Linked DNA regions of Caenorhabditis elegans. The protein of the gene in region 2 binds, or shares a complex with, the protein of the main gene of each other region. Each region holds a gene or a part of one and is shown on either strand. Other genes may lie near its edges. The genes, in order: bbs-9, bbs-4 and osm-12.

Region 1 (9,258 bases), on a different chromosome or scaffold from region 2:
CAATTCCGCTGCCGAAGTTGCCTACTTATTCTCTAGTTTATTTCTCATTTTGCATTAAAAACACTAACCAGCACTCATTTTCCATTGATTCTCTGAAGTGTTCGGGATGAATGACGTTTATCACTGAAAATCTTCACTAAAAATTTAAATAATTGAGAAAATTGAGCAAAGTTTGAACATAACGGTTAAAACACGAACATAACATAATTGGAAAAGATTATCGATCGCATGAGTGGTTCAGAGTGGGAAGAGGTGACAATGGTTTGAAAATGAGAATAATGGGAAGAGAAAATCAATCATAATGCGCAGACAGGGTATGTTCATTCCTAATGCAGTAAATTTTTTGTTTTTTTCCTAAAACAGAATCCCACCTTGAGGGGTTTTTAAAAATAAGTGTAAATAAAATTTTCAGAACCAATATTGAAAAGGTATTTCTATTTTTAAATTTATTTTGTGGGCTGAAACAAAAATTGTACAATGTACAACAAAATTGTTTAAAATTTTTGATTCTGCATGCACTAGAGGCACTGAATATCACGACATTTCGAATTTCAGTTTTTATTCGCCAATTTTTCTTGTTTCCTCGAAAAAACCAAATTAATCTTTAAAAAATTGGTATTTCTTTCCTAGCGTTTCGGCATATTGCATCTCATTATGATCTCTTCTTGTATCTTTTTCAAATGCCACCACCTGGTGATAGACTCTTTCGAGAATCTCTCCCCGTTCGCATCCTTACACAAAAACTTATGCGGCTCATTCTTCAGTGGTCCGATTGGTGCATTCGGCGAACACTGATTGCTCCCTCTGTGTGCCTTTGTAATAAAAAACTTTTCGTTGTTAAAAAGAAACGTTTTTTGTCGTTATCTCGAGCTTGGCAAAAAAAGTTAGATTGCTTTTTTTCCGGCCACAATACTTGTTTTTTTAGAAATGGTTACATCTTCAACACCCAGACGTGGGTTCCACATACCGACCACATTAAATCACGAATCCCTTATGGTAATTTTTAAATCGGAATTTTTCTCATACTTTATAATTTATTTTTAGGCTCAAAACTCGCCAATATCGATGAGATATTCAGTATCATGTGGTGGTGGGAAGGGAATTGGAACTACTGGAACATATAGCGGAGCTGGGGGACAAGTTAGCGATAGTCACCCATCAGTTCTCGATTTGAACAGCGAAAACCGAGTAATGGACCGAAAAACGGTAAGAAAAGTTTTTTTCAATCTTTCTATGCATGAAATTGTGTTTAGGTTCACTGGAATATGCTTCTCCTCCTCTTCATGTCAGTTTGCTCGGCATTATTCACCGTTGTTGCTCTACAATTCCACTTTTCAAATGCCGAACGATTTCTTCGCACCGCAAAATCACCGGCATCGGCATATCGAGGAGTAATCGATGTCATTCGGGATGTCATCGCCTCATTCGACGTGGCAATCGTGATTCTGTCGATTCTGGCATTCTTTGTGTCTGCTCTTCAATTACTATTCCTGATGAAGATAGTAAAACAGACACAACAACCGGATGATATTGATGTGTTAGTGCTTTTCAAAAGTTTCACATTAAATAGCTTGAACATTTTAACATTACAGGGCACTTCGATACATCAAATCAACCAGCTTTTTAAGAATTGTGGCATTCTCGTTTTGGTTCGCATCAATAATAGTCTTCGTGATCGGTGAGTTTCTTAAATACTATTCATACGCGATTATAAAAATTCAAAAGAATGAATTCGCTAGAATACAAGAAACAACTCTGCAATTCTAATATTTTCAGTGCTAATGCTCACAGTCTCAATTGACCCATCGCGAAGTTTGGCCTCAAAATGTGTATCGATTACTTTAGGATCTTCCGCCGTCTTTCTTGCCACTTGCTTCGCCGTGAAAACCCTCTATTTCTGGGCAAATCATTCTTGTGGGCACGTCTACCGCGAGGATTGTTACAATTACCTAAGCACACTGGTCTGAATGTATTATTTTTATAGCTTGTTATTCTACCCACTTCTATATTGAGCTTTTTCATCACGCAAAGTTTCTCAAAATTGACACCAATGATCTGATTTATTTCATACACATAAGACTAATAATGAATTCTTATTGAAATCCTGATTAATGGATCTTTTTTAGTTCATTACTAATACAAGGCTTATGTTCATGAATTCGAGGGAAAACTAAAAGAAAACAGAACAAAAATGACGGAGCAGACATAAATCAAGATGCGGATAAATAGTAGTAACATACATAAGAGATATCTATTTTGTGTTTTGCAATATTTATAAATATTGTTTTTTTTTAATTTTAGTAAAAAAGTTTGAGAAGCAAGTGAGAAAGTATATTTTCAGAAGAGTAAAAAAAAACAAAGATTTGCAAGAGAAAAAAACGTTTTCAAAATTGTGTTCTGAATGCCTTTGGACGCGTCGCGGTGGCGCTGCGTGTTCTTCCAGCATGGCATTTTTTCCAAAGAAGAAACACGTTTGCATTTGTTCGTCGCCCATTTTTATTCGTACATTCCGTACAAATTTTATCAGTTTCTGATAGATTTAATATTGTACAATGAGAATTTCCTATTTTTATTTGGCATTTCGCAAGTTAAATCATTTAAAAACAGCTTTTTGTAGAGAAAAATACTGAAAACTACAGTATACTCAATTTTTTGTGTTCTTCAAATTAAATTTGTTTCATTTATTTTTATTATTTTCAGGTGTTAGCTAGCAAAAATGGTTGAGCTTGGAGGAAAAGGGCCATACTCGACATCGTTCGATAACTCTGTCTTCATCATCCCCGCAATCGTTATTGTAGCCGTTTTCGGTGAGTATATTAAAACTAAAAATAACAACGAATCTCGCAATAATTTACAATCTTCAATAGTCAAATCTTTTTGGTCGGGCTATTTGTTAAGACCAACATAATTTTTGAGTACTGTAGGTCTAACATGTTTTCCTTTTTTTGAAGATAGGCTAAGTTCCATTAAAAAAACATGCTTCTACCGTATTCAAATTGATAAAAACAATTCACACATCCATCAAGCAGTTGATAGAAACATAATGTTTTCAGCCTACGCCGTTATCAAGCTCCGTGACACCACTTTGGCTAAGGATAACAAAAGCACGGCTCGTCAACGCCGTGAGGAGAAGAAGAAGGCCAAGTAAATGTACAAAAACAGGACTACATCCAAAGTTCACATTCCAAAGACAACTCGACATACAATTTAACAATTTATACTTCGATTTCCATTTGGGTTTTTTTGTATTTATTTAAAAGTTTTATTTGATATTAATAACGTTTTCTAATGTAAAAATAAAATTGATGAACGGATCTTGTTTCTCCATTCTCTACACGCTGCTCCATATGGTTTCCATGACAACACGCGCACAGCAGTGAGCAGGTGAACATCGACTCTATTGCTTACTCTAGGGCACGCTTCAGTCAAAAATGTCGCTTTTTCGGCTCGTCGAATGGGTTTCACAAACAATTCCTAATACGTCAACTATATTGAACGCTTCATTTTTTCAAGATAGAGGTACTTTTTTCAAGATGTCAAGGTCTCCAGTTCGATGTCATGGTTGTGCAATTTTTTTTGTTGAAAAAAAAAACGAATCTCAATTTTGCTCCACTGAGTATATAGTTTTCGACGTTAAAATAGTAACATCAGTAGGATTTTTCCAAAATGCACTCAAAATTAATTTTTGGTCAAAAATTTGGCACATTGCCAAATTATTGAAAAGTTGGTTTTTCTTTAATTTAGAGAATTCTTAAATATTCCAAGCTTGAAAATGTTTGAATATAAATAATTAAAACAAATAGAATGATGAACTTGTGGAACATTTTTAATTTTGGTCGGTTTCCAAAATCATGATAGGTGAAAACTGACCATTCTTTTTTTGACTAAATATAAAATTTTTCAAATATTTGGAAAATTTTCACAATGATATTTGGTCATCTTATTACTATCGAAAGGCTCTAAACGATTCCCCCGTCATTATTCCAGAGCAACTTGTTATTGGAGGAGAAAACGGTCAAATTACGATCTCAGATCCAGGATTCAGGGATACCAATGTGACTTTTAAAAGTCGAAAGATTGCAAAAAATGTGGTAATTTCAGGCGCATGTACTGTGTACAACTGAAACTAAATATGCTATACTCCAAATGGCATCTGATAACTTTCTACCTTCAATGAATAATATTCTTGCCGTCTTATCACCAACAAAGTTAACCTATTACAAAGTTCATTTTGGTAAGTTATGTATCTATTCAGCTGTTATTTATCATACAGAGTGGCTCATAATTATGACAAACAGATGTGGTATCATAAAAACTGTTTTTTTGCAAACTAGGTCAACTCCAAGATATTCCTGATCCAACATTACATTAATAATTGAATACATCTTTCTAATTCGTTAATATAAAACACGTTTTGATAAATCGAACTATGAAATCTATTTTGACAGGCTCCATATTTTTGAGTCTTTTCATTTTGAAACCGATAGTTGTTGATACATGTTTATTTAACTTCAAAGAGAGATAAATACAATATTTGATTCGGATTGTCTTAATAAATACGGGTCATCCTGTAATATACAAAAAATAATAGGCTCAAGTACGAAACAAGGCTGTGCGGCTGGTAAAAAAATTCGGCTGTCGGCTGATGCCGACAGCCGACAGCCGCACAGCCCTGGTACGAAATGGTTAAAATTTCAGCAAGTCCTGATGAAACCCTCGCATCACTTGATGAGATATTCTCTCATTCTTTTTCAACATCTGCATGGAATATGTGTGTAATACCAATTGAAGAATCAACTCCACAGATATTAGTGCAATCAATTGATTGTAAATTATCTTTGTTTCAAGGAGATCAATGTGTTTTTTCAATGGTTCCATTGAGAGCTCTTCAACCAGGACCAATCGGTTACTGTCAGACTACACAAACTCTTTTTGTTGCAAATAATGGATTCTTAGCTGCTATCAAATTCAGTCTTATGTCAAGTGGATCGCAGAAAAAGATTAATGTAAGCTGTGGACTATTGAATATTTTTCGAATGTCCAATATCATCGGGAAACTAAAAAGTATTGAGTTAATTACAAATAATAAACCCAAGCTGTCGAATTTTGATAACGCTGAACATTTTTTCAAATATGCTGACTTTACACTGACAGTAAATTTGAGTCTTCTTTTTTTCAGTATGACTGGTCTTTTAATCTGGGTGATACTGCAATACAAATGAAAGTAACCGAAGGATCTAAACCAACAACCATTGTATTATGCCGCCGACACGTGTCTGCATTTAATGCAACTGGATCAGTTGTCTGGCAGATTCGTTTAGAAGCTGTTGGAATGGCAATGTGTCTTTATAGATCACTTCTGATTAGTAAGATTTCATATATTTTCAAACTTTTATTAATGTTTACTCTCAATCAGATAACACTCAATTCAATCGTTTAATAGTTTCAACATCTGACGATACATTGCTAATATTTCAAGATAATAAACTTGTATGGAACTGTAATGCTCAAATGTCACCAGTTGCACTATTAGTTTGCTCTTATAAGTTAGTTTTTGACATTTCTAGAATTAAAATAAGAATTTTAATATTTCAGCAAATCCTATGAGAATACCATTACAATGATGGCACCAGACGGTAAAGTTGTGGTTGGATATCTTGGAACCGAGCCAAATTTATATAGGGTGAGATTTTTTTTTGTATAGATGTGATATAGGGCCATTTATAATTTAAAATTATCAAGTATCAGGATAAATCATTTTTAGCTTTCGAAAATTATAGTTTTGGCAAAATGCCAAATTTTTGGAATATAAGAATCATACTTAAACTTTTTTTTTAATGTTTTACTTTCATTTTTGACTGTTTAAGAGTGGTCTTTAACAATTCTCACACTGGCGCTGCACAATCTTTTCTAATATGTATTCAGCTTTATCTTCGTTCAAATATTAATAGAATTAGACTTAAGATATAATATTCGAAATTAGTGTCAACTAGAAGTAATTTTAACAGATACAGTAGACCTATGGTAATTGAAACAAATCGGTCACTATTTTTATCGCAAAAAAATTACAGTTACCCGAGGACAAAGTGATAGTAAATTACGCGGAACGAATGGAAGAATATAAGAGAATGGAGCAAAAAATCAAGGAATCAGATGCAGCCGGTGGAGCTATCAAAAGAAAAGAAGGAATTCAAATGAAGCTGAGCATTGGAGAAATTGGTAAACGAACTGTAAGTTTGTTCATTGGAACATTATTCAAATATTAATTTAGATTGAGCCAAATGCTGCAAGCAATGCACCATACTGCAACCTTATTGTAGAATTCTCAGAAGTTCAAAATGTTTCTAAACTTCACATCAATATTCTATCGGAATGTGCTTCTCCATCCAAACAAGTAATTCTTAATGTGGGGACTTCAAGTAAGTTTTTATCATAAACTTTCGGTCTGGAACAAATTCGTTTATAACAATGTTCTACATTGAACTCTTGTTCCTAAGAACAAAAACAGTTATGGTAAATTTAAAAATTGAAAAAAAGTATTGGAAACGTTGATAGTGGAAAAATCTAAAAACATATAAAGTTGTAATTTTTGTTGCATAAATTTAATACTTTTCGAATCTACAGAAAGCGCAACTCAATTCAACATTTATTGAAAAAATTATTTTGTTCTGAAACTCTAATAATCCATTTACCTTTCAGAGTCCACTGCATCTATTGAAATTCCATTTTACGTCGGATCCAAAAAATCTCCAACTAGCAATAAAGTCACTATTGCAGCACATTGCGCATTCACCCAATGTAATTTCAGATTACTAACCGAATTAAAATAGTTCAATAACTTTATTTTTAGTAACAGTCACCAAATCAATCGATTTGCCATTCAAAGTATTGTTTGAGGAATCACAAATTGATAGAAATGCAAAATATAAAGTGACAATTGATACAGCTGGATCGGTTATGCCACTGAATAAATTATTTTCTGGTGAGCTATTTTTCCTTCATTCTGACAAAAGGCATAACTATTGTAATATAGAAAATTAATTAACATGTGCCAAGCAACTAACTTTTTTTGGAATACTTGTAGGACAAACGTTTTCAAAGTTATTTAAAATTTTTGAAGTGTTTATTAATGATATTAACGATGCTAGTATATAATGGACTATTATGAGTGATTTTCCAAAAATACCAGCGCTAACTAACGATAGTTTTGAGTGTTTAAGGTGCGATGTTTATAGAACTCAAATCTTAACAATGATTTTTAGAGTTCGAATCTGAAAATCCACAAGCAATTGGATTTTCTCTTCATGGCTCTGATAAGACAGTTTCAGTGTTTGCAGCCAACAAGTCAAGTAAGTTTCTTCCATTTCAATAAAGCATAGACAGGTATGCCTACGTACTTACCTTAAGCTTGCCTGCCCGAAGCCTATTTTATTAAATTTTTGGAATTTGGAATTTGTTCGATATTCCTTGTGCCCAGATGGAAAGCGTTAATTTGAAACTTCGAAGTACGAGGAGAATGAAATATTTCCAGATCGTTACCGTATTCAATCAGAACATATTTCATTATTACAAATAACATCAAGGGAATTGGTAAAACGAATTGCTGAATCAGCGCCGGGAATTGAAATTGGAGGAGTTATTCCATTTGAGTACATGAGAGAAACATTGGATGAAATTCAAGAGGTATTAAAGTTTTTTTAAGTAGAAGAAAAAATAATATCCTTCAAAAAATATTACAGCTTCAAACGAAGAAAAAGGAAGATTCAAAGAAAATTGACTGTCGAACAAAAGAAGTTCGAGCAATTGAAGCATTATCTTTGAATTCGTGTAAAACTGGAAATATGGGAAATTTGCCTTCTTTGGATGCACTGTTTGATAAATCATATAGAGAAGTAATGGAAATCGTGAATAATTTGAAATTAATTTATGGGAGTTTTGCAGCTTCTCGATGCAATGGATAGTTACAATAGTTTAACTGCAAAAATTGAAAATCAAAAGGCTTCATTGAGTAAGTAGTAAGTAGGTTGTTCTTAGTTGTCTCACGAGAACTTTTCAGACTCATTATTCCAATTGGCAGCAGATTTGTCAAAACTTTCAAAAGTGGATACTATTTTAAATGGATCTTTCTGGGCAAATACTCAACAGGTAACTTTTTTATATTTAGTTTAAGTTTAATAAAGAAACCGACAAAACTAACCAACAAATGTGCAGAGCTTATCCTGCTTAAAAATTATATAAACATTGTAAACTCAAAATAAATGATAAATGCCGAGAAAATCAAAAAAAGACTGTAACGAAAATAACTTTATTCAAAGAACGAGTATATTAAAGTCGATTAAAATTGTTACAAAGCAGAACCCAGAATGCCACAGTGGTATGGTGTAAACTCTTTTGAGCAATAGATGTCTAATCGCGCCGAGACCTGGTACCGTACTTTTTCGTCAAATCTTTTTTACAACTGTATAATAACTAATTTTTTATTAATTAAAGTCTCTACGAGATCGCCTTCGATGGGCTGTGAAAACAGATCGTGGAAATGAAATGACAATGATTGAGAAACTATGTGAACACTCGCCAAAGGAATTACCAAAAATTAGAGAAGAAGAGGAAGAGGAAGAGCAACAAGTGACAGCTTAATTAATTTAAAGAAGAACATATTTAAGTAATTTAATGAAGATTTCTATTTTTATAGTTTTTCTATTAAACATGAATTCATTTTCATGTCGACTTCAAGCTCTACATTTCGCTGCGAGACCCGCCTTTTTGAATGAAATTTCAAAAGCTTTTGTAAGTTTGTGAATATTTTTATACATTTTAGAATTCAATAACATCTGAAAATGTTTATTGATAACAACGAGAACAACAACAGCAACAAATCAAAATTTAAAAACAAACAAAAATTAATCCATGAGATCGAAATCGTCTCGAGTATTATTATAATCCATGACGTGTTTCTTGATTTTCGAAGCTTTCGTCCATGTGATCATATCTTCAGACGATCGTGTAACCATAAATGCTGGATCGGTAACCAGTTTCGTTCCGATTCGAACGTGTCCCTGCTCCACGAGATCTGACGCAGTTTTGACTGATTCACACATTCCAATATTTCTCATCACGACTGGAAGACGACGACGAGCGAATGATGCTCCAGTCACCTAAAAATGTTTTATTTTGTGTAATTAAAATCGAAACAGGACAAAAACCTTTCCAATTCTTTCCAACGTATCACTAGTGGGCACAAGTCCAGCTGCGTAAAAT
Region 2 (7,058 bases):
ACGAGAAGTATGAGAAGTATACTTTAACTTCTTTTCTATTTAAGTCTAATGTTTTCCTTACCTTCGTTGGATTTTCCCTGAAATGTACACACGAATGGAAGTTTCTGACCGACTGGAACAGTATGCCAAAGACCTCCAATTGACATTTTGTCGATTGCAACTCCATAATATCGAGATTCTGGAGCCCACATGTCATTGAATTCGATTTCCCCACCATTTTCCCAAGCAATGTTACATTTCAGATTCGATGCTCCAACCCAGAACTTTGTCGAGTTGGCAACTTCTAGATCGGCGTTGGCTAAAAGTTTAGATTTTATTTTAAATATGTACAAAATGGAAAGTGTCACCTGAGTACAAGGAAGAGTCATCCTTATTGATCTTATCAGCTAATTGACCTCCCAAAGAAACACAATACCTTCTTGCTGCTTGAAAACTTTTTGGTGTGTTGTAGAGTTTAAAGCATGCGTTCAAGCTAGAAAAGTTAATTTATTTCATTTGTTGTTTAGATGGTTAATATTTTTCTGAGATTTTTTTTGAAATTTACATTTAAAATGGACAATTTATTCATCTAATTTATGTTGAACATTTCCGGCAAATCGGCAAACCGGCAAATTGCCGATTTGCCGGAAAAACGTCTTACATAAGTCTTAATTGATTAAATTTCTGGATTGTAAAGTTTAATCGGCAACAAATCAATAAAAAAATACATATTATCTTTTCACCAAAGATGAAATCGTTGTCATTTAAATAAAAATTGATATTCAAATTGAACTTACCTAGTAGAAGCCAATGGATTGACAGTACCAATCTTACACTCATAAAGTTCCGTTCGATTTTGAGCAAAGACAAGAATTGGCTGGAATAATAGTAAGAACCATAACGTGGTTCGTCTGTACATTTTGTGAATTTTCTCAAATAATGAAAAGTTCGCCTACTAGTTGAGGATGGCGGTGATGCTGAAACAGTGTGTGCAGAAGCTTTCCGTATATCACGTTTTATCGTTCATCCATACGGTAGGCGTCGATAAAATGAGAGCGTGTTTTATTGGAGATTCTCGCAAAATCTATCAAACCCGTCACCCCGTCACCCCGCTTTTTCAAGCCCCCAACACCGATTTTTTGTAGAGGCGGTTGTGTTACAAATAAAGGTTGGAGATCGGCAAAAAATATTTATGAATGTGGAACAGGAAAAATATTGAATTTTGGTATTGAACTTATGAAGAGTTCGGGAGACATAGATAAAAGTTAGTGTCGATTTCATTTCTGAAACAACTAATGTTAGTGGCATTCATTAAGTTGTTGGCAACATTTTGTCAAAGTTTGGCAGACTATCACACACTGAGATATAACCATTCAAAGTGGATCAATTGGGTCAATAGAGAAAACACTACTTTTTGCATAGTTTAACATTCTACGATATTTACTTGTTTAAATGTATTTTTGATGCTGGTAGTAGTTGCATACTTTTCTGTAATAAGCAGATTTCCAGTCGTGAGCAAACTTGTATTAATAATTGTGAACATGAAAACCTTTTTGTTGGAAAGGATGATGTGATCTCCCAACTTCAAAAACTCAATCAGAATCGTGATGCCACCTTTCAGAAAATATTTATACATAGATAGGTTAAATCAATGTACGCCAATCACTTTTTATGTTAATTTAAATGTAAATAACATAAATCCAATACGTTTTTAATTTTATTTTATCTATTATCGAGATGTTTCTGCAAAGGTTATTCATTAAAAAAATGTCCAGGTTTGCATGGTGGGGGACGGTTTGTTATTGTTCCGCAGATTGATCAGGCTGCTTCAACACACTTTCCAAAAGATTTGCAGTTTCCTTATTGTTCTGCAATCAAATTGTTTGCTTCGTGACTGCAGATGTTCATGGTCTCACCGCGCTACACTTGACCCCAGATGCTTGAAGATCTTTATATAGTTTCAATGCATTTGATGCTGCAGTGACGTCTTTCATACGATATTCGAAGATCGCGTAGTTTAAGATCTAGAAGTTATGATGGTGTTTTCGTATGCACATTGTTGCCACAATACCCATCCCATACAATTGCGGATATTTTTACTGGAACTCAGCACAAACAGAAATGCTCACCGTTGATGGATTTTTCTTTAGTTCAATTGATTTTTTGTATGCCAATCGTGCATTCTTATCATCATTCATATGTGATAGAATCACTGCCATCGCACCGACAGCTTTCGCGTTTTGTGGATAGAGCTCTGTGCACAATTTTATATAATGAAGTGCCGAGCAATGTAGATTCATGATATCATGAAGAACTCCCAAATTATAACTGATCCTGAATTAAATTGTATTATTATTACGTATAATTCAAGCCATTCCTTCTCGTACTTATAGTTTAAGGGATTGATAAAAGCGGCTTTTTTCAAAGCAGAATGAGAAGCAGCTGGTTTATTTCTGGCCAGAAGACCGATACCAATGTTGTTCCAGAGGCAACCGTTATAGTCACTCACATCTGCCGCAACACTGAAAATTTTCATTTTTATTTCAAATTGGATATGAAGCAAAAACATTACCGATATTTATTCAAAGCAACGTCATGATCAGAGTGATTTTGCATTATGGATCCAATTGTTAGAATAGCCTGAACTTTTCAATTTTAGAATTACATTTTATGGACGTTTTTCTTTTTATTTCATGACTGTGAAATTTTTGATACGTTTGTGACGAGATACAAATAACAGTTGAAAATTCATCTGACCTGACTATTGGCTGGATCATAAGCCAAACAATTTCCAAGTTGAACAAATCCTTCTTGTACTTGTCCAGTTCTGAGATAAATCAACCCAAGTAGATTCATGACTTCTGTATTATCTGGTTGTAATTTTAATGATGATTTATAGGCAGCAATTGCACCCGAAGTGTCCCCAAGTTCTTCACAAAGTCGACCCAGAAAGCAAATTAACGTGGCATCCTTGGCTATATCAGGTCTGAATTCAGAAGATTCGGTATTTGAAAAAAACGTATTGTTTACTTCATTAGAATTGTCCTTGCAGATTCTACAGGATTGAACGTTTTCCCTTGCACCTTTTCAGCAGGAAAATGATAAATTGCTCGAGCGAGCCAATACCAAACTTTTGGATTGTCTTTCATTACTTCACTTGCTTTTGTTAATTGTTCAACAGCAATTTGATGGCGACCAAGTAGGAAATTACATCTTCCAGTTTCATAAAAATATCTGTAATAAATAGATAATTATTTGAAATTTTCCTATATTTAAAGGTATTCCTTTACTGGTACAAGAAAGAAGTTGGCACCAACGAGTTTTGGCAAGTTTTGGCAACTCTCTTGTTGCATCTGACATTGAAATTGACATTTTATATATTATTTGTGAAGTTTTTTCAATTAAATTATATTAATTTACTGTAAAAAATGACTGAAAATTAGAATTTGTATAGTTTGTTCGCAAAAACTTGAAACTATGCACTAAATTTTTTACTAAAAATCCTGGAAATTTCATAAACGTATTTTTCATTATCAAAATAATAATTATGTGGAATATAGAACTTGTAGCTAGTACTGTGACTGAAATTGTGGCGAGACCCACTCAAAAAACAGCGTGTGCCTTTAATCGAATTCTTACGAAATTACAATAGTTTTTCAACATTATTGTTAACAATAAATCACAGTAAATCGGTGACATGAAACCCTGAAAAGAATTTCATCGATTTTTAATAGTTTTTAGTTTTCCAACAAATAAATTTGTTTTCAACGGAAAACTATAAAAATCGATGCGAATTATAATCGATATATCGAACGCGGCAACGAAAGTTCGAAGCTACAGTACTCTTTAAAGGCGCACACTTTTTTGGAAACAATAAACAAAAACTTGTCGTGTCGAGACCGGGTACCGTATTTTTGGCGCAAAAATCGTTAAATGAAGCGCACCTTTAAGGCAAAGTTTCCTTTTTTCACTAATTTACCATATACGGCCATATTCACCTTTTATTTTTGCCAGAAAGCTCATAAGCTTTATGAAAGCATTCCATCGCTTCTTCAAGTTCTCCTTCATTTCTTGCAATTAGTCCACGAACATGAAAAGCAGCTTCATTTCTTTCAAGATATTTGCTTTGAATTTCTCCAATTATTGATTTGCACTCAATATAGTCGCCTTGGGCAAAATAATGATACATTAGACCATTTAATGAGTTACAATCGAGAATTTCCACTCGTTTTGGAGCAGACGGAGCACGTTCTGGTGGAGGTGGTGGAACATCAAGGGATGTTGGTTCAGGTACTACTTCCTGATGAACAGAATTATAAACGAAAAAATGTTTCAAATTATTTCATTAACTCACTTCTGGATTGTCCTGTTCATTTGGAATAACGTCAGTTCCAATAATTTCATCTTGATTACTCGCTTCCATTTTTAATAAGCTATGCACCCTCAATAACTGCCTACGTCTTTCTCCTTGCCGTTGCCATGGAAACTCGCGGACGCCACATGCTATAAAAGGTCTCGAGAAAAAAATTTATTGTTAAAGTAGAAATCATGTTACAGTATAAGAAAAATGAAAGTAATTTATGAAATGCAAGCCGATACAAACTTTTCAAAGTTTTCAACGTAAGGTGCGAGAGCTCCATGCTTGTACGCCAGGAATTTTCGATTCTTCGAATCCTCGTTCTCGTCGTTTCCTCGTTCAGCCAAAAGACTGCTCAACTCTTCCACGACATGACTGAAAGTTTTTGGATAATACTATTAGAGAGACGACTTTTTACTTACTCAATTCGAGGACATTTGCTTACATCGAACTCTTCAATTTTACCGACATTCAGAGGAACTGCAACGTTTCCGGTCTTTGGATGAATGCAGAATGGGGATTTGAGCAAGTGATTTGTTCCTGTAAAATGTGACCGTTTAGTACGAAATCAACGCAGTTTCATCGAAAAATTAGGAAAATAATTATTTTTTGTTCAGAAAGTTTCAATTTTTTGAAATCTGTAGGGTGAGAAATTCTAAGAAAAAAACTATTTTCGAAATAAAGGAAGTTTTCAGTATTTATCGTAATTTCCCAAGATTTTGACATGCCTTCTTAAAGGAGCACGGATTTATTCAGATGGGTCTCGGTGCGCAAAAAGTAATGGTTGTATTTTTTTTTCGCGCCGAGGCCCATCTGAATAAATCTGTGCACTTTCAAGAATGCATGTCGAAATTTTTTGAAATTATACAGTTTCTTTTTGATTTTGAAACTATTTTTAAATATGTAAAAAACATTTCACCTGTAGATACATTAACATCAAGACGTGGATAGCATCGTTGAAGAACAAAGTAGAGAAGATAATTTCGGTCGCGACCTTGCATTTTCTGAAAATTGATTTATCTATTTTCCGACTGTTATCTCAAAGCTTCCACTTACAAAATCGAGAAGACCGTCCTTCGGAGAAAGCGATTTGCGATAGTCGTCATCAAAAAGCCCACGAATCATGTTCCAGCGTTCTTGTGGAGTTTTGTAAGTCTCGGAAAGGCTACGCAAGTCATCTCTGCCTACTTCTGACATAAACTTGTACTCTGTGATAAAATCTTCCTTATCCAGCCATCCCTGGTCATAGATCATCTTCTCGAAAACTCCATCTTTCAATGCAACGTTAAACGCGTCACGCACAATCGGCGGAACTTTCGTCATTTTGGCCCGACCTTCAGTCACCTCACATTGGCCATTTTTCTGTAAAATGAATTTTTTATTCTAATTTGGACAAAGAAGTTCTCGAACCTTGAACAAATTGAGTCTGGTCGCGATTGCAGATCTTTGATAATTGTTCAACATCCTCGCTTTTTTGTCACCGACCCAACAATGTACTCCACGTCTACCAGAGAAGACCCACATTCGTGCTTTGAAATCGAACATATCTTCCAGTTGGAAATCCAAGATTTTAACAGCGAGAACCATGAATTTCCAGCATTTTGGGCAGACGGTGGCATCTCTGAAAAATTAGAAAATCGAAAAGTGGGTTACAGATCATCTTAATAATGCCCTCAAATAACTATCTTTGCTAAATATATCAATATAAAAATAGAGATACGCGGAAACGGGATTTTCGTAAACTCTTACTTGCAACAATTACGAACTGGATCGTAGTCGGTCAAATCGATATCAAAAACCAATTCTCGTTCCACAGCTTGATAATCTGTATGTCTCTTGTTATTAATTGGCTCGTGATTGTAGACAGCTCCAATATCAAGTTTTTCCGGGTTAGTACTTGAAAGTGCTTTGAAAAATGCGTGTTCGTCATTGTAACTACGATATCTGATATGAACGTCATCTGCCAGAATGAATGCGAATTCTCGGCGGTTGAAATAGTCTCCGTTATCTGCAAATTTCAAATTTCGTTAAGAAAATCGAAATTCGAAACTCACTTTGTCCGTAGCGGAGCCATTTTGTGAATGGTTTGACTGGGAAGAAGTTTTTGTAGTATATTGGCAAATCTTGTGGAAGTCTGATGGAGTTATAAGACATTTCTGAAAAGAAAAAAAACTATAAATATTTGGTTCAATTGAAATTCAAGCTAAAAAAAGATGAAATCCTCAAGAAATAGGCACATATGTAGTGCGGTAAACTGGTTTAAATTCCAATTTCGCGGCGTGTACAACAGGGCGCGTTTGCATTATTTTATTTTTCTCTAAAAGACCATTTTCTCTCCATTTCTATACTCATTTTCAGTGTACAAATGAATTCAATAAAACATTCTACGGAAATTCCATCGACCAGTAAGCTGTCAGATAAGCAAATAATTAATTAATATAAAATAATTGCAGGTACCCAATCACTAGTATTCGAATTCACGAATTTGGACGATTTGTACGGATTTTTGAATATTCTCCAGTGTCGTGAAGAATATTCGTTTGCTCAAATACGTGCCTTCTATAATATTCCCGTCGATAAGGTAACTAATTTATCTTCTATTGCCAGAAGTTATTATATTTAAGCTTCAGAAACTTCTTGTCAACATCCAAGTGAAAAATCCGGCACAAAATCTCGATTATGCTTGGGAAAGACGTTTGAAACACCATTTCCGATACATGCT
Region 3 (6,543 bases), 2.6 Mb from region 2:
GTAGGGGGCTATGGGGATTCTGTAGGGGTACTGTTGGGAGGTGGTACTGTAGAGGTACTGTGGGGTACTCTGTGGGTACTGTAGGAAAATTATGGCAGTGCTGTAAGAATACTGTCTGGGTACTGTAGGGGGTACTGTAGAATTACTCTAGGGGTAGTTTGGAGGTTTTGTGGAGGATTACTGTAGGATTACTGTAGTTTTGAAAAAATTGGCTATTAATCTTTTGAAGAGATATTGGTTTGGGGTTAGCAGAGGGATATGGTCGGGGTATTGTAGGAGCACTGTGGGGGTACTGTAGGGGTACTGTGTGGGTACTGTAGAAAAACTGTGGGGGTGCTGTAAGAATACTCTCTGGGTACTGTAGGGGGTATTGTAGAACTACTTTAAGAGTACTGTGGAGGTGCTGTAAGAATACTATAAAGGAGATGTAGTTTTGGAAAAATACAAGACGTCGTTTGAAAAGATATGTATTAGTTGGGGTTAGTGGAAGGGGTATTGTAGGGGTACTGTAGGAGTGCTCTAGGAGTACTGTAGGGGTACTGTAGTACTGTGTTCATACTGTGGAAGTACATATGGGGGACTGTAATGGTATTGTAGGATTACTGTAGTTTTGGAAAATGAGTTGTTGTATTTGCGAGATATTGAGTTGGGCTAAGTGGGAGTGGTAGGGTTGATAACCGGCAAACTTATTTTCCGGCAAGTTTGGCAAATTGGCAAATTGCCGGTTTTTTTGCCGAAAAAAAGTTTGCCGCCCACCCCCTCCCTGGTTGATTGTGTTCACTGAGGCATTATCTTGCGAATTAACTGTATTCGAAAACTGAGCAGTTACAAACCTGTAAATGTGCAAATAATAATATCAATCTCAGATTTTGAAGATACATGACCGCACGATATTCCAGTTATCGACTCGTCACAAGACTGAAAACACCTTTTTTTTCATAAGAATTTTGCAACTTCAACAAAAGCCTACAAAAGTTCCGAATAAATGTGCATGATCAGTTTCATCAATAACGTAAATCTCAATCAATCCATCTTCTTTTCCCACAATAATATCCGGAAATTGTCCGCCAGTCACATTGAAGCACACAATTGTTGTGACACAAGCTCCCGACGTTGTATCAATTTCCCATAGGATCTTTCCACCGCCTTGAGGTACACTAACAAGTCCCAGCCTGCCAGTTTTTGTTCCGTAAAGAACCAAAAGCTTCGTATGACCACCATCGCCCATAAAAAGGGAAACTGTGAATGGAACACTATCGAGTCGGACATCATAGGCGAAGTTGTTGCCTTCAATGATTTGAAGAGTTGAGTTACCACATGCGAGAATTGAAGTGTATTCTCGACTCCCCCATGCTTCTTCGAATACAAGGCTTACAACATCATGAATGTCTTCCGTGCAAAGATAACTCTGGAATTTGTTCGTAGATCAATTTTGAGTTCTCTCTTACTACAAAATTGGCCATTTTAGAACAGTTTCAAAATTGTGAATTTTTGCCATAAATTGTCCATTTTTGCCACATTCTCATGGTTTTTGATGTGTTAAACCTAGATTTTCTGAATTCTCCATATACGAATTACCCGTGTTCAACTAATTTAGACAACTTTTTATTTTTGCCCATTTTCATTTTTCTGCCATCTAATGACTGCCCAATTTTTTTCGGGCAAAAAAATATTTTTTTGGAAATTATTAGAAATAGGAAAAGGGCAAATTTTTAGGGTTCTGGCATCAATTTTGAGTCCTCTAACTACAAAAATAACCATTTTAGAGGACTTTCAAAATTGTCATTTTTTGCCATAAATTGTCATTTTTGCCACTTTTTATTAGTTTTTGATGGGTTGAACCTAGTTTTTCTGAATTCTACGTATATGAATTACCCGTTTTCAACAAATTTAGACAACTTTTTATTTTTGCCCATTTTCATTTTTCTGCCATCTTTTGGGCAAAAATTTGGGCAAAAAAAAAGATTTTTCTGGAAATGTACAAAACCACTATATTCTGAAAAAGGGCAATTTTTTAGCGTTCGGAGATCAATTTTGAGTCCTCTAACTACAAAATTAACCATTTTAGATTAGTTTCAAAATTGCGTTTTTTGCCGTAAATTGTCCATTTTTGCCACTTTCTAATGATTTTTGACGGGTTAAACCTAGATTTTCTGAATTCTCCATATATAAATTACTTTTTTTAAACAAATTTAGACAACTTTTTATTTTTGCCCATTTTCATTTTTCTGTCATCTTTTGGGCAAAAATTTGGGCAGAAAAAAATTATTTTTCTGGAAATATTCGAAACTATTATATTCTAAAAAAAGGGCAGTTGTTCAATGCTTGGAGATCAATTTTTCTTTTTTAAGTTAAATATTAAACTCAAATTTGAATGGTAAAGAGCTTAACCACAGTTAGTTTAGCGATGTGCACCAGAGGTGCGCGGCAAATTTGCCAAATTTGCCGAACTTGGCGAGCACGGCAAACGTTAAAATTTGCTACACACCAAAAAGGGTGTTGGAAAATGTTGAAACATTTTCGTTTTTCTATTATTCGAATTTCCGAAATATTGTTTTAAAAAATTCAAAAAAAAATAATGTTATTTTTCATCAACAGAAACAAAATCTGGTTATGACCAACGGGTGGTGCAAAAACCTACATTCGAATCCACCGTGTCATGATATCTACTGTAACTTTTTCGTCCAGTCAAAACCACATCCAATCCACGTACGAACATTCGATTCGCAACTTCAGCCATATTAGTTTCCATCGAAAAAAATGTTTTTCCTTTTCGATTGACTCCTCGAACCGTATTTTGTGATGCGACAAAGATTTTATCCTTTTTTTTCGACGATGCCGGGCCACCGAGAGCCAACGATTGAACAGGGTATCCTGGTTGAGTTTTGAATATTATCTGGAAATTTTTAAATTAAAATCCGGCAAAAATCGGAAATTCGGAAATTTGCCGGAATTGAAAATTCCCAGCATCTCTTCAAACGGGCAAAGTTTCGGAATTTAAAAGTTCCGGCAAATCGACAAGTAGCCAAAATTGAGCTTTTTTGGCAAACAGCAAAGTCGGCAAATTGCCATTTTTCAAATTTCCGGCAAGTTCGGCATATCTCGGCAAATCGCTTCGTGCATTTCCCGAATATTTTCGTAAAAAGTACAAAAATTGCTAGAAGTACGAAAATGTGCGACAATGGGTAGAAACTGGGTAGAACCGATATACCGGCAATTTGCCGACTTGCCGATTTTTTCTTTTTTGGAAATTTCAGAATTTCAGTTGTAAAGGGCAAAATTGTACGCATCCTATGAATGTTTCTACATCTATTTTGAAAAATAAGCAAATTCTACATATGAAAATGTCTAAAGAAAACCGAAAAAACTTTAAAAAAGGCACAATTTTAAGTGTTTCCGTCTTATCCCTCTAAAATCTTCCGGGAAATTGATATCCGGCAAATCGGCAAACCGGCAATTTGCCGATTTGCCGAACGGCATTTGTTTCCCACGCCTGTTTTAGAAAACTACATAGCATGTGTACTCCACCAGAAAAATCTGAAACTGTCTGGAAAAAATCATAAAAAATTTACTCACCGTGGTGTCATTCGATTTTCTCGATAAACAGATTAAGCTTCCGTTCTGTCCACCGACTACTATCTGCAAACATCAAATTGGTTTTTTTTAACTTTCACGTATCTCTGGCCTCCCTCATAAATTTAAATGGAAGAGTTTGCCTAACTAAGCCAGGCCATATCTGGGGTAGATTTACGGCGCGTTGCGTGTCGCGTCGCGGCTCGATTGTAAAACTATATGTATTTGTCCGTGTGGAGTACACGTTGTGCGGCGGGGGTGATTGTCAATGGAGCGCGAAAAATTCAAAGAGGAAGGCTAGAAGCCCGTGTATATATCTGATACATGCTTAAAGTATTTAAAAAAACCCTTACCAAATCGTGTTCTTTCTCCTTATCCGACGGAATAACACGCATGCAACCCCGATTAGTAGTGCCGACTTGAGCGAAATCAGTTCTCGAATAATTTTGCATTTTTTACAGTGGAAGCTGAGAGAAATGTGAGCAGAAAATCCAAGATTTCAATAAATGGAGAACTAGGAACCGCCGAGTCGCTGGTGTTGTCGAGTTACTATGGCAACATGAGCTGGAGAGGGGTCAGGTGGCTCATTGGGGTGACGGGTGAGAAGCGAGGTGTTTGAAAAAGATTGTAGTAGGTATTTGCTTAGGAAATGGGCCATAATGACCGAGTCTAAAAAACAGTGCACTGCGGCAAATTTGCCGAAATTACCAAGCTGGGCAAATTTGCCGAATTTGCCGTTTTTTTTTTTAATTTCACATGAGACGTATGTCATCTAAAAGCTATACTACAAACTTGGTGACCACCAAAATTCAAAAAATAATTTAAAAAAACAGGAATTGAAAATTTCCGGCAAATCTGCAAACTGCCGGAATTGAAAATTTCTGGCAAAACGGGAATTTGCCGGAACTGTAATGATCCGGCAAATCTGCAAACTGCCAGAATTGAAAATTTCTGGCAAATCGGCAATTCGCGGGAATCGAAAATTTCCGACAAATCGGCAAATTGTCGGAATTGAACATTTACGGCAAATCGGCAAAACGGCAATTCGCTGGAATCAAAAATTTCCGGCAAGTCGGCAATTTTCCGAAAATGAAAATTTCCGGCAAATCGGCAAATTGCCGGAATTGAAAATTCCTGGCAAATCAGCAAATTTGCGGCAAATCGGCAATTTGCCGAAAATGAAAATTTCCGGCAAATACGCAATTTGCCGGAATTGAAAATTTCCAGCAAATTGGCAAGTTGCCGGAATTGAAAATTTCTGGCTAATCAGCAAACTGCCGGAATTGAAAACTTCCGGCAAATTGGCAAATTGCCGGAATTGAAAACTTCCGACAAATCGGCAAATTGTCGGAATTGAACATTTACGGCAAATCGGCAAAACGGCAATTCGCTGGAATCAAAAATTTCCGGCAAATCGGCAATTTTCCGATAATGAAAATTTCCGGCAAATCGGCAATTTGCCGGAATTGAAAATTTCTGGCAAATTGGCAAATTGCCGGAATTGAAAACTTCCGGCAAAACGGGAATTTGCCGGAACTGTAATGATCCGGCAAATCTGCAAACTGCCGGAATTGAAAATTTCTGGCAAATCGGCAATTCGCGGGAATCGAAAATTTCCGACAAATCGGCAATTTGCCGACGAAAAAATCTTTCGCGCTTGTCCACGTGTAGTACAAAATTCTGTCGTAAATCGACACACACTTGCAAAATCACCTCTTTTTTAATTCCTGCAAACTGCAAATTTCAGGGGTTGATCTAATTTTAAAAAAAAAACAAAAATTTATTGAATAAAAAAGTCAAACTTTTTCAATAAAATGGAACGGGTTAACAATATATAATCGTTTAAAAAAAAAGGGAGATCATTTTTAGAAAATCAAATATTAATTTTAGAAAAAAAAATCATTCAAGACGTGGTCTTTTCGGATCCTGGGCTTCATCCTCGTCGTGTTCAGGCAGGAATTCACGTTTTTGAGCGGCGGAACTTTCTGTAGATTCTTGAGCCGGAGCAGCAGGAGTTGTTACTGAAAAAAAAGAATATTTTTGAACTTTTCAGGGAAATACTTTTAAATTACTCTAAATTTGCGCCTGATTCCGAATATTTATGTTAAAAAATTCGAAAACAATCCCCTGAAATCTCGTAAATCGACAAAACGGAATTTTTAAAGGATTTTTGGAAATTTTTTTAAAAGGATTTTTCGGAATTTTTAAGGATATTTGGAATATTTTTTGGAATATTTTTTTGAAATTTTTTAAAGTACCTTTCGGAATTCTTTACGATTTTTGAAGGATTTTTTGGAATTTTTTGTATTAAAAAATACAAAAAATAAGGAATTTTTTAAAGGATTTTTCGGACTTTTGTCGGATTTTTTAGAGCTTTTTAAAGGATTTTTTGGAATTTTTTGTATTAAAAAATACAAAAAATAAGGAATTTTTTAAAGGATTTTTCGGACTTTTGTCGGATTTTTTAGAGCTTTTTAAAGGATTTTTTGGAATTTTTTGTATTAAAAAATACAAAAAATAAGGAATTTTTTAAAGGATTTTTCGGACTTTTGTCGGATTTTTTAGAGCTTTTTAAAGGATTTTTTGGAATTTTTTGTATTAAAAAATACAAAAAATAAGGAATTTTTTAAAGGATTTCTCGAAATTTTTTCGGAATTTATTGGTTTTTTTTCCGAATTTTTTGGATTTTTAAAGGATTTTTCGGAATTTTTTAAATGATTTTTTCGGAATTTTTTAAAAGAGTCTTTGGATATTTTTCGGAATATTTTTTTGATTTTCTTAATTTTTTTTAGGAAATTTTAGGAATTTTTTGAAAAGGGGTTTTCGGATTTTTTTTTTGAAATTTTTTTTTTTGAGTTTTTTAAGGAATTTTTTTGGGCTTTTTTGGAATTTTTAAAAGGATTTTTTGGAATATTTTTAAAAGAATTTTTGTGGAATTTTTTTAAAGGATTTTTTGGAATTTTTAAAACA

The links.
Region 1: bbs-4 (region 2) and bbs-9 share a complex: the UniProt entries of both Caenorhabditis elegans proteins name them as parts of the BBSome complex.
Region 3: bbs-4 (region 2) and osm-12 share a complex: the UniProt entries of both Caenorhabditis elegans proteins name them as parts of the BBSome complex.

Annotation. Positions count from the first base shown.
Region 1 is NC_003279.8:6,917,129-6,926,386, reverse strand, and holds bbs-9 (Protein pthb1 homolog), read left to right. Parts: upstream 1-3,413; 5' UTR 3,414-3,431; coding exon 3,432-3,519; intron 3,520-3,987; coding exon 3,988-4,055; intron 4,056-4,101; coding exon 4,102-4,234; intron 4,235-4,698; coding exon 4,699-5,006; intron 5,007-5,179; coding exon 5,180-5,366; intron 5,367-5,416; coding exon 5,417-5,546; intron 5,547-5,595; coding exon 5,596-5,683; intron 5,684-6,071; coding exon 6,072-6,230; intron 6,231-6,271; coding exon 6,272-6,419; intron 6,420-6,699; coding exon 6,700-6,798; intron 6,799-6,850; coding exon 6,851-6,982; intron 6,983-7,262; coding exon 7,263-7,349; intron 7,350-7,531; coding exon 7,532-7,683; intron 7,684-7,739; coding exon 7,740-7,892; intron 7,893-7,941; coding exon 7,942-8,008; intron 8,009-8,056; coding exon 8,057-8,145; intron 8,146-8,490; coding exon 8,491-8,637; 3' UTR 8,638-8,687; downstream 8,688-9,258. Other genes in the region: hrpc-1 (RRM domain-containing protein), read right to left, coding at 69-78; C48B6.9 (uncharacterized protein), read left to right, coding at 928-996, 1,045-1,206, 1,254-1,537, 1,593-1,678, 1,777-1,967; C48B6.10 (Small integral membrane protein 15), read left to right, coding at 2,717-2,807, 3,054-3,148; C48B6.2 (U3 small nucleolar ribonucleoprotein imp3), read right to left, coding at 8,901-9,155, 9,204-9,258. UniProt on the Caenorhabditis elegans protein: Component of the BBSome complex. The BBSome complex is thought to function as a coat complex required for sorting of specific membrane proteins to the primary cilia.
Region 2 is NC_003281.10:9,607,790-9,614,847, forward strand, and holds bbs-4 (BBSome complex member bbs-4), read right to left. Parts: upstream 4,409-7,058; 5' UTR 4,403-4,408; coding exon 4,334-4,402; intron 4,280-4,333; coding exon 3,978-4,279; intron 3,214-3,977; coding exon 3,010-3,213; intron 2,966-3,009; coding exon 2,737-2,965; intron 2,620-2,736; coding exon 2,552-2,619; intron 2,502-2,551; coding exon 2,367-2,501; intron 2,314-2,366; coding exon 2,109-2,313; intron 2,004-2,108; coding exon 1,896-2,003; intron 1,848-1,895; coding exon 1,779-1,847; 3' UTR 1,601-1,778; downstream 1-1,600. Other genes in the region: clec-161 (C-type lectin domain-containing protein 161), read right to left, coding at 62-298, 348-472, 777-898; pri-1 (DNA primase small subunit), read right to left, coding at 4,558-4,711, 4,759-4,876, 5,256-5,340, 5,393-5,698, 5,747-5,957, 6,086-6,344, 6,391-6,490; F58A4.6 (DUF4807 domain-containing protein), read left to right, coding at 6,702-6,741, 6,790-6,917, 6,967-7,058. UniProt on the Caenorhabditis elegans protein: Component of the BBSome complex. The BBSome complex is thought to function as a coat complex required for sorting of specific membrane proteins to the primary cilia.
Region 3 is NC_003281.10:12,198,426-12,204,968, forward strand, and holds the start of osm-12 (BBSome complex member bbs-7), read right to left. Parts: upstream 4,113-6,543; 5' UTR 4,026-4,112; coding exon 3,927-4,025; intron 3,640-3,926; coding exon 3,577-3,639; intron 2,897-3,576; coding exon 2,642-2,896; intron 1,409-2,641; coding exon 971-1,408; intron 919-970; coding exon 834-918; intron 1-833. Other genes in the region: Y75B8A.13 (titin), read right to left, coding at 5,473-5,594. UniProt on the Caenorhabditis elegans protein: Component of the BBSome complex. The BBSome complex is thought to function as a coat complex required for sorting of specific membrane proteins to the primary cilia.